Linked DNA regions of Arabidopsis thaliana. The protein of the gene in region 2 interacts with the protein of the main gene of each other region in a pairwise test. Each region holds a gene or a part of one and is shown on either strand. Other genes may lie near its edges.

Region 1 (6,709 bases), on a different chromosome or scaffold from region 2:
TCTATTTTGCGTTTCGTTGACAGTTTTTTGAACACCTTTTGGGTTTCCCCTTTTTGCGTTCTCCGACCCAAGTTGTCAGTTTCTTTGTTGTTTTGTATTGTAAGCCCTTTTGTTGCACTTGACAGATATGGAGTTAAAATCTTTGTTATTAGTACACTACTAGTTTCTGTTAGCTCTCTCTTATCCCATTCAACCAACGGTCCAATTTTCTAACAAAGGCAAAATAAAAGGGCAATGATGTGTGTTCTTAACCTGATCTTTTGTTCTAGCTTAGTTCATATTGCATATTGCAAGCTGTTTTCTTATATTCATACTATAATAGACTATTTTCACAATGTATATAACAAACATGAATTTTACTCCAGCCATTACATCTATTGATCATCACATACTCTTGTTTAGAGACTAACGGTTGAGACAAAGCCAGATTTGAACTGAGTTTGCTCTGCAGTCCTATAAGGTACTACCAGAACTAAATCATAACCTTTAAATCTTTATAATTCCATATTTCAAATGTAACAGTCATGAAAAAACTCTAGTTTGATCGAGCAAAAAGCCAAGTAAGTTCGAAAGCTTTAACTATCGTTCAATCTACTTCGACATAAATCCGGCTCTGTATCATGTAGGTATGAAGATACAAGTAGTGGAAATTTCAAAAGCAAAAGGTTCAGATAGAAGAAAAGTAAAACTTGTTTCATTATAGACAAAGTCAAGAGAACAAATACGCTTAAAGAGAGTTATGTTAACTAACATTTTTAGCTAACAGCCTAACATAGAAAGGTAAAACTCAGACAGGGAAAGCTCTAAAGAAGAAACCTGAAACTGGTTCTCTTAGCAACAGCATCTATGAGATCCATTCATCATAAGAAATCTGTTCACATTCGAATATCAGTCTTCTCGGGCTTTCCCTGCAATATCTAAAGATGAAAAAGAAAAAGACAATCCGAAACAGAGACATTGTATTCCATTTACATGGGGAAACTACTGTTGCGACATCTGATTTTACTACTACAAGCACCCCAGGTTAGGTGTAGCAGAGAATGCAGAACAGTTACACGATATCCATGTCCTAAGGCACAACAGGAATTTAGAGGCATAAAGAATGATAATATATGTGGGTGTAAACCTCTTTTTTTCAATGGTACAGTTTTAGGAGAAAGAAGACTCTCTCCATCATTTCTCTTCATTGGTGGTATTCTGTGACTAAGTGCATATAGATGATGAAGAAATAAGAATGTAACTTAAATGTAGTCAAGAAAAAGACCTAAAATTCGGTCTAAGGGATCTAACTCCGCATCTTTTTCCTCTGACTACCCTCTTCCATATCACCCTGAAAAAGCCATGATCGGGAAATCAAGAGGTCGTCACTGGATAAATGTCTAGCAGCGAAAATGAAAATGGATTCAACTAGACACAAATGAAGCTAATGAAAATGCATGGAATGGCTTACCCCATTGGACTCTGGCCTGCACTTTGCATGCACTATAGGACCTAACTGAGACTTGTCCATATCTGTTGTTGATTCTTCAGGAGCATTCATGTATACCGCACCTTTGTACATCCATTCCTCGGTTTCATCACTATAAAAGTCTTCAAATGGCTCACCACATAATGCACATGAAGTTTGGTCTTCATCTGCAGGAACTGCCATATCTTCGTCATCCTTCTTTTCTGTTGTTGGCTCCGTGGGCAAGAACCCTGGTACTGCTTCAGCTCCAAGTGCTTCTGCACCACTGAGCCACATGCTAGCACTTACAAACCATTTCCGAGAAGGGTTCTGCTTATGGTTCTTGGACATCCTGTTCTTGGTTACATGCCAATCCATGTGCTTACTGTGCTCTTCTTGGCACTTGAAGCGTAGACCACAGGTTGTGCATTGCCTCGGGAGATCCCCATATAAAGCACTGATTGCAGACTCATTACGTATCTTGAGCATGTCTGCATCAAACTCCAACCCCAATGGTCCCTGAATATATAAACCAACAATTCAAGATAAAGCAATAACTAAGAACAAACCGACTCTCAAGGACATGATTTGAATAATTACCTGACCAGCAGGCTGATTGTTCAATGAGATCAAACCTTGAGCCATGAGAGAGCCAATCAGACCAGAGAATGCGCCACCTGGTGGTTGATTAGAGGCTCCTATCTGAGATAAAACTCCTGAAGAAAGAGGATGCATGGCTTCCCCACCTTGGATTGATAAAGATGGTCTAATGGTTGACCCATGTGGAGGGTACCCATGACTTACGTGGGTTAACAACGATTGCATTGGCCTTGGAGCCATAGCAGATGAGGATGGCAAATAATTAACTAGCATCTGATTCTGTTGAGTCATATCATTAAGATGACTCTGAGAGACCTGGTTTTCGGGCCTATATAAAGGCTTACCTTGCAAGCGATTTGACATCGCATTACCGGGATTTGCCAAATGATGCAAATGAGCAGAAGGTACAGGGAGAGAGTTGGGTCCTCTAGCACTCAAATGGGGCCATGTCCCATCAGGAAGAGCCCGGCCAAAACGTGAGTTAACATCTTGAATGCTATCAAATGGAGGAGCCCCGAATTCACTGTTTGATGAAACTAACCCTACAGATGAAGCCAATACTTTCAAGTCTTTTCCTGCTCTTGTATCAACACGGTTGGATGTATGTGGATAATTTTGTGACAAACTCCAATTTTCTCGTAGCTGATGACTTACACCATTCTTAATGTCAGAATCTAAATGAAAATCACTTGTGTTTCCTACTCTGGGTCTTGCCCTTACACTTCCTAATGCTGGTACAGATGATCGCAAAAATTCACCAGCTCTGCTACGATCTAGGGTAGGGCTCATATCTTCCCAATCAAACTCTTCTTCCTCAGTGTTCTGCCATGGTGTAACCATCTTACTGTGCATGCCATTCATATCGCGAATTGGTTTATTGATCGTTACGTGTTTGCTGGTGTCAACTCCATATGCATCTATCAACGCTCTAGGTCTTTCGTGATCATTTCCTTGGCCTAAGTTTTCCTTTCTTCGCCATTCCATATGTTCATCATCTCTGCTAGTAGCTCGACCCATTCCATAGTTAAAAGCTTGATTAGAAGGATTAGCTCCATCATTAGACCTCCTGGTAAAACCATCTGGTGTACTAGACAGTGAAGATGGGCTCTCTAACTGATCTTCGAAATCATTATACCCACCGAGTGAATTTTGGCCATAAACTCTTGCACTGGAATTAATTCCTCTCAAATTCTGCATGTCAAGCAAGAGCAATTAAGGAAATATGCATCTCAGGTATAGTCACTCTTTGAAAAAAAACATATAAAAACAGTTCCAAACGACACATGATGCATAAACAGTGATCTACTGTACTATAACCAAAAAAAAACCCTCTACATGTGCTAACAAGATCATTTCTAATGTACCAGAGTCCCAGTGACCTACTCATCATGTATAACTGAGAGAGGCCATAACAACAACTCCCTTCCAGTCAAGATTGATTACTTGAAGAATGTAAACATCTATCTCGTCTAACTAACAAAACTTTAAAGAAATACAATGGATAAGACCACTATGAGGCCAAACTAATCTAATACCCGTTTTACTTAGTACACTTATATAAAATTAACACACCATAGCTTCAAGGTTGCAGATGCACCTAAAAAAAGAATGTCATCTCTGTTCATAATGACAAAGAGAAAGGCTTACATTTTCGGCGGCTGAGGGCTCCAGCCTGCGAAGATATTTTGGATTAACATGTATACCTCTCGTTGGTTGACTAGGCTCAGAAGCCCCTACGGAAGATTGGTTTGCTGCAGATGAAAGTTGCAATTGCATATCAATCTTGCGTAGTACAGGTGGTGGAAAAACACTCGACCAAGTCCCAAACAGGTGACGCATTGACGGATGTAAACTCGGATGTGCTTGCCTATATGCAAGGCAGAAGACCTAAAGCAGAATAGGATCAAAACAGCTCATGGGTATGCTTCAGCCCTATTCAAATCATTTAAGTAAACATCTTCTTGTAGACTGCTCACCTCGGGTAGACGGGATGAGAAATAGCGACCATAATCCCGCCCAATGTTCTTAACAATGCTGTCTAAAAGATACAGAGATGGCAACTTTTGCTCAACAGGAGCCTGCATATATACACCCACAGGTAACTCAGAAGCAGCCATTTCACTAAACCACAAACCAAACACTAATCTCTGACAATCAAAAACCTAATTTTTTTCCCACTTCTACACTTACATACTATACAATAAGGCTAGAAAGTGGAAACAAATAAGAAGAAAGCAAACCTCAAGGATTCGAGTGCAAATAGCATTAGCGATTCCTTCACCATGTTCCCGTTGTTCACCAGCGATAATAGTGAGATCAGTGATAATAGGCTTAGAATTGAAAGTAAGCTCACCCAAAACAACCTCATAAAGCTGAACAATCTCATCCATACTCGGAGGCAAAACCTCTTCACCACCACCGAACTCATCTTCACGCTGATTAAGCAAAGCTTTAAACCGGTCTAACAACGACGGCGGTGGCGGCGGTTTCTGCGGCAACTCAACGGACATACCTTTGCGGCTGGTGCTATTAATCGAAACAAGTCTTGGATTGAGGATTTTCTCTGAGTCCATCCCCAATTCAATAGTGAAGAGTGATAATTAGTGGCAGCATAAAGGCTCTAGGGTTTCTGTTCCACCATGGAAACTCCTCGAATCGCCACCCTTGTGGGGGAAGAGAGAGATAGAGATCGATAACGGAAGTTTTTTTTTTTTTAGTGAAGAGGATTTTTTTTTCTTCTCAATTTTGTATCTCTACTTTATGCAAATCTCATTTTTGTCCCTTTTTTTTTAGAGTTATCAACTACATCCCAATTATTGTTTTTACCCGTTTTGAGTCACACAGATTTTTGACTTTTACTATGACCTCATCAATTAATCACGTTGCAATTCTCTTCTTTCCCTTATTTGAAAAGTTTGATCTTGCCTCTTGGTGACACTAAATTTAGTTTTGAGGAACTATTTCATTTCTTAGCTTATTTATCTATCTTGATAAAGTTTGAATCTATCTTGTTTTGATTCTACTCATGGACTATGAATGATTTTTTTTTTGGTAGACAATTAGATTTTATATTATTTTTGATTTTTGACAGAAATACAGAGATTAGCAAGAAGCGGATTAAAACAATCTACAAAAATAAATACAACATTACAACTCTAATTCATTCAGTTCGCTTTTATGCGTTCAAGGCTAAGTTACGAGTTGAAACACCGATTTTGAACTCGTGAAACTCGGAAATTTGTGTGGTTGTCACATGACCGAAAAAGTGGAATTCTCATGGTAGTTGCCACGAGCATATCTTCGAGAACTTGATTCAAATTGATACAGTTAAAAACACCACCATCAAACCACGTCCTTGTTACGTTTCTTTAAGTTATATTAAAAAAATGTTGGATTAGTTGTATAAAATCCTATAAGGGTTTGAGTTTATTATTACATAATTATAATTATATAGCTTCCTATTTTATAAGTTTAAATTTAATATTTGTTAGTTCCTTTGTTTTTACATTTTAAAATATAAAGTAATTGCTATTTTCAAAAATGTTAATTAATTAGATGCTAAATATGTTAATTATTGATGTGGCAGCTCCCGATTGGTTGTTTTCAAAAATGTTAATTAATTAGATACTAAATATGTTAATTATTTATGTGGCAACTCCCGATTAGTCGTTCTAAATCCTAGGTTATGAATCCACGCTACGCATGGGTCTATTTGTAAAACTTTTTAATATTTTTTTGTGTGAATAAAATTATTATAGAAATTTTTTAAAAGATATGTTTTTATATGTCTACTTGTTGTTAATATTATAAACTCTTTGAATTTTAAAATTACCATGACAATAGTTACAATTTAAATACAAAACTAAAAATAACTTTAATACAACTTTTAGGTTTACAACATTTATCAAAAGAACATTTTTTTGGCTCATGACTCTCTCTTTAGCTTTAGATATTTAGGATCACGACGTCTTTTTATGTATGAAATAAATTGTTTTATGGAAAATAACTTCGACGACTTTCTCATTTTGAAATCCGTAAATTTACTATTCTTTTTTGTTTATCTTCGCTGCATTAGTTAGTATAGCTCGTCTAAAAATAAGATATTATATAGAAGTATATTCATAAGCTTATCTATACTTTACTTTAACAACTCATATTTTCTCACATTCTTTTCAATATGTATATGAATTTCTGTCTTCACAATTTTTTTACAAAGAGCTATCACTCTCCCTATCTTTTTGCAAGCACTCGTTTTATTTGTTTCATTTTTTCTTACAGTGTCTCTTTCCATCCTCTTATGATTTTGTTTAAGCAATATGTGTCATACCTTCTAAACTTTTCACATGTTCCATATTTTTTCTTCGAAAATCTCTTTCTTCTCTAGTTAGTACTAGGGCGAAACCCGAACCAAATCGCGGGCTTTTTTTATTAAAAAATGTAATTTTGTTAAGTTGTATGTAGGTATTGAATGTTATTTGTCATGATTCATGATATATGTAGAACAAAAGAATTCATTAGAAAGTGATTAAGAGCTCAATGCATTTGTTAATTTTTTAAAGTAAGATCTATATAGCTTTTATAAGTTTTGGAAGCTAATTTTTTTGTATTACGAACATCTTTTTAGAAGAGTCATTAAAAAACAAAAGTGAAAAGAGTTAAAAA
Region 2 (4,786 bases):
GAAGTAAAGTAACTTTAGTCATGGAATAAGTATGAAATCTAGCACTGACAGAAGACTTTCTCTCAGAAAATGTAGGGATAAAAGCAGGACAGCAAAATAGTTACGGAGAAAATGTAAGAGGCTGCAACTTTCACATGTATCCTATGATGATTAGTCCGGTCTTGATGATAATTTTGGACATGCAAAAAGAAGAATCAGTTACGTGTATCGTTCTAGTTTAAATCAATAAATTTGTGAATTGTGTTCTACGAACGTTTTGATGATTTTCTTTATAATCCAAAATCGTACACCCAATATGAACCTAAATGCCGCAAGTGATCACAATTCACAAATTGCTAACCACTTTTCAGAAGCACATATATAGCGGATCAGAGGAGCCACGGATCTTCTTCTTTCAGGGTGGTTACCTAGAAGATCACAAAACAAACGGTATCATAGAAAGCTTGATACATTGTTAAGTCAACCAAAGCCATTTTTGATTCCATGAGTTTGACAATCTACTTGATGCAGATCAAGCAAAGAATGGAGAAGAAGACGGACACATGAGAGCCAATGGCATTAGTATAAGCTGCAGAGAAAGCATTGCAGTTGAGAGGCAATAATCATAACTCACTCACTAAATCAAACAGCTGCAAAATCAGGATCCGAGTATTTCCTCAGCCATGCTTATCATGGTTTGGAGGTAAACAGCGATAATACGCATGAGCCTCATACAGTTGGGAGAAGTGGGAAGGCGTCTGGATACAAGCATGAGTAACAACAACTCCAAAAACTTCACTATCACAAAGAAAAATTCCTGCTACGCCAGAAACTGACTTTTTTGTTTTATTGGCTTAGTGTTATTGTTCAAAGAGAGAATATTACTAAACACATGTGAGAGTGTTGTTAGAAAAGAAACAATTTTTTTGTCTCTGTTTGTTTTATAACTTATTGGCCTCAAGTGGTTATCATCATTCATCAACAGCTCTGAGCTACAAGCATAATTCAATTGGACAGTTAAATATTGGATGTACAAGAGTTGCTTCATGAAAATAGTATTTATAATAGCAAAGTTTAACATAAGATAAAGCTTTTATAAGAAAGCTCTCTGTTAATTCGGTTTTTATGCGAATATTCTCGGAAAGTGATTAGACAATGGCATCTCAAAGCTTCCTCATGAGTAGAAAGAGCCTCTGGTCAAGTTCGAAGTGAGAAATATGAGCTGGATCTCCCTGAAGCAACATCAGGAGCCCCCCGAACGAAACATATAACTCTCTGCAAACACATAATTGCAAGATAGAAACCGAAGCATGATGGTTAGATCTGTAAGTTAAATTGGATCTCTTTGGGAAAAAATGATTTTGTTGGTCTAGGTATATGGGATTCTTACGCTTTTGGAGTTTTGCCGTCACGCTCAGAGATCTTGTAAAGCTTCCCGTGCATGATGTATTCATACTTATCTGCAAGTGTTTTCTTTGCTCCCTGTAACAAAGCGAGATGGAAACTAGATTAGATTAGCTAACAACAATCTTGGTTTCATGATTCAAGAGTCAAGACACTAAGTCTTGCTCAAATTCCACATGTTTACTCTTATTCCTAGATAGGCTTCCTGAATCAAGCCAAAGCAATTGTTCTATTAAGCAATTAGATCAAATCCTAATACATGTTCTTGTAATAGAGCGACATGGAAACTAAATGAATGTTCAAATTATCAAAGAAAACAGTCTTGGTTTTCAAAGATAGGTTTTAATTCAATATTCAAGAGACTAAGTATTGCTCAAGTTTTCATATGATTAGTCTTATTCCTATCTCCTGAATCAAGCCAGTGGAATTAGTCATATCGAGCAATTAGCACTTAATGGTATGCCCCAACCAAAACCTTAAGAAAAGTTAACTGGCCTAACTTACTGTAACCATTCATGAGATTTATCCAAGCAAGTAAAAAAGAGTATGCAATATACACCAAAAATCTAACATAGAAAAAGCATGCAGTACCGGAGTAAAGTATCCGGTATCAGGAGTTCCATCGAGATTAAGCGTGGGAGCCATAGCCAGCGTGAACTTATCACCAACAGCCAATGGATAAACCTCAGTGTTAACATCTAAATGCATAAACATTTCCAAGTTGTGGCTCCTTGCTTCAACACGCGTAACTGTGTTACCACAAACACACAGAGACGCAATCAATTTGAAGTCAGAACAAACAAACTTTAGGAGGCTTAAAATTTTAAAAGTTGAGATCTTTTTCACACTAACTTGGATTCCAATTTATCTAAAACTTAAAACAAACACAAGAAACTAGGATTCATATCAGAAACTCGATTTAAGCCATGACAAGCATTACAAATCGTGACTGAGGTTAAAAAAAAAAGTAGATACCTTTATCGAACTTTTTGCCATCAGGGTCTAGCTTATCGACCACGAAGATATCCTCGAACATGATAATATTGCTCGCCATCTACAAACACGGAGATTCAAACCCTAAACACTCTTAATTTCATGAAAATAATCCGATTCGACTGGCATAAAACAACTATATGAGCATCTGGAGAAATCGAAAAGCTGAATTACCTTCAAAGGAGATAGAAAAGACGATTTTTTTCACCAGCTCCGGAGGCTCAAGAGGCAGAGAGAGGAACGGCGGCGAGAAGAGTGTTAAGGAGGGGCAGAGAAGAAGAGAAGCGAGAGAGAAAGGATTTTTTGTTTTTTACTTTTTCATATTATTACATATATTCCTTGTAGTTTGGTTTATTTACATATTTTCCTTATATTTTTACTTATTACAGAAAATACCCTATAGATTTGTGTTTTTCCGAGACATTCCATGTATATTTTGTTGTTTATTACATATGTTGCATTAAAGGAGAGATCAGAAGTTTGAAATATTGGAGTAGGTGCATGGTTTGCTGAGTATGAGCAATAGTTAAACACTAGTTGGTTTGCAAACTGATTTCAATCGAGCGAGAAAAATTGTTGGAAGGTGAGAAAGTATCTCTTCCTCCAATTCCCACGGCTGGTTCTCTGGTTGCATCATATATTTTTAATGGACACGGTCGAAAAGAAAAAAAAGAGTTTATAGATGGATTTGTATAGCAGCGTTGTTGTTTGCTTGCCTTGTCGGTTTAGGGTTTCAGAAAGAAGGATTGGAAAACCCTATTTCCCATTTTACTCATAAGTCCAACTTTTTTTATTAGGCTTTTGCGAACCCAATAAAAAACACGGCCAGTAATATTCCCATTTTACTCAATCGTGCATGTTCAAGAAAAACGATCATATTCATATCCAAAAAAGAATTATTACTTTTTATTGGCATGATTATTAATAATTAAAAACTGGTGAATGGTTAGGAAACGAATAATATAGAGGGGGTGGAGAGAAGTGGACGCCGAGAGCAGTGAGGTGGACACCAGAGCTTCTTCCGTAAAACCCGATGGCCTTGGAGCCTCGTTCTCCTCGAAGCGAGAAGGGCGTCCCGTTCAAGCGTCCGTACTGTGGCATCATGTCTCCCTTGCGCATCCGAAATGTAATGGAGGTGATATGGCTTTCAGTGTAGGTCCCCTCGACGGCTTCAATGTAGTCGCCTCCAGCGATCATAATCTATGCAAGAAATCCATATGATATGTATGATAAAACTATATATAAGTTAGAAACTAATAAATTAAGAAGTAAGAAATCTCATCACGTCACGTACTTCGTCGTCTGGATTATGTGTTGTCGCATTTCCATGACCTGCTCCGGCTTCAATCCGGTTATATTTGGAGTAGTGAAACTTGACAAAGACCGTGTCAAAATCATTTACTCCTACATTTATTTTCTTCACATTGTGGAAGATGCCGTCGTCCCACTCGTTTCCTCCATCGCTCGCTTGTATTCCTCTAGGGGGTGTGAAGCGGGACTCAACCTGCTGCGTTTTACTTCTATTGCTCATCGTGAACGTTGGAACTGGGACCAAACTAGGAACATAGGTACGGTGATGACGAGTAGGATACTCAACCAAATCGTTTATTATAATTTCATGGAACTTATCTCCCTTGGCAATATAAATGCAAGCCTTTTCCTTCTTGTTCAAACAACACAAATGCGAGACTGAGGGTTTTATCGTCGATGAAGTAACTTGGCGGATCATAGCTTATTACTCTTAAACTCGACCATTTAGGAACTGACACTTTCATCAAGTTCATCCACTCCACAGCCTTTCCATTCTCAATTTTAATCTCTTTTTTTGTTACCCAAATCTCTATATTCCTTGTCTCATAGTTTTGCTCTAAATACGAAAATCGATCTCCCCTAAAAACTGCAAGGGACCTAGCATTGCTTGGATCACATTTTTTATTAGGCAAGAGACAATAGGGTTCAAATTTCTCCGTAGAAAAATCAAAGCTTTGAATAAACTGGTCATCAGACGCCATATGGAAAGCAACCCAATACAAAGCTCCATTCAATGATACACTATAGGACGACATAAAATCCCAATCATATGCAAACTCGTACGGTTTCGAAATCCATGCATCGGATACAAACTCGGTGATACTAGCTTTCACGGTTGTATCGCTATAGGGGCAAGACTCAAAGATCTTGTAATGATTTTCGGGTCTAGAATTGTCGTATCCCACCCCATTGTAACGATAATTCACTTTGGATTTGATCCATCTAATCTGTCTCAACAATGGGTTGCATATCCCAATCCCGTTCTCGGTAGCATAAACCACTAACCCGTCGCAATATTCGACCGTCATGAAGAAACCATTATAACCGGGAATATATGAGGGTAAGTTATGGCTATGCACCTCTATGGATGGAACATCAA

Evidence for each region.
Region 1: the proteins of NRPB8B (region 2) and PCFS4 interact in a two-hybrid assay, tested with the Arabidopsis thaliana proteins (one study listed by BioGRID).

Annotation. Positions count from the first base shown.
Region 1 is NC_003075.7:2,469,994-2,476,702, reverse strand, and holds PCFS4 (PCF11P-similar protein 4), read right to left. Parts: upstream 4,838-6,709; 5' UTR 4,621-4,837; coding exon 4,288-4,620; intron 4,126-4,287; coding exon 4,024-4,125; intron 3,935-4,023; coding exon 3,695-3,934; intron 3,239-3,694; coding exon 2,048-3,238; intron 1,967-2,047; coding exon 1,451-1,966; intron 1,331-1,450; coding exon 1,286-1,330; 3' UTR 678-1,285; downstream 1-677.
Region 2 is NC_003074.8:22,014,280-22,019,065, reverse strand, and holds NRPB8B (RNA polymerase Rpb8), read right to left. Parts: upstream 2,691-4,786; 5' UTR 2,551-2,690; intron 2,438-2,550; coding exon 2,359-2,437; intron 2,133-2,358; coding exon 1,975-2,132; intron 1,462-1,974; coding exon 1,370-1,461; intron 1,255-1,369; coding exon 1,143-1,254; 3' UTR 705-1,142; downstream 1-704. Other genes in the region: AT3G59590 (jacalin lectin family protein), read right to left, coding at 3,298-3,576, 3,671-4,036, 4,116-4,786. UniProt on the Arabidopsis thaliana protein: DNA-dependent RNA polymerase catalyzes the transcription of DNA into RNA using the four ribonucleoside triphosphates as substrates. Component of RNA polymerase II which synthesizes mRNA precursors and many functional non-coding RNAs.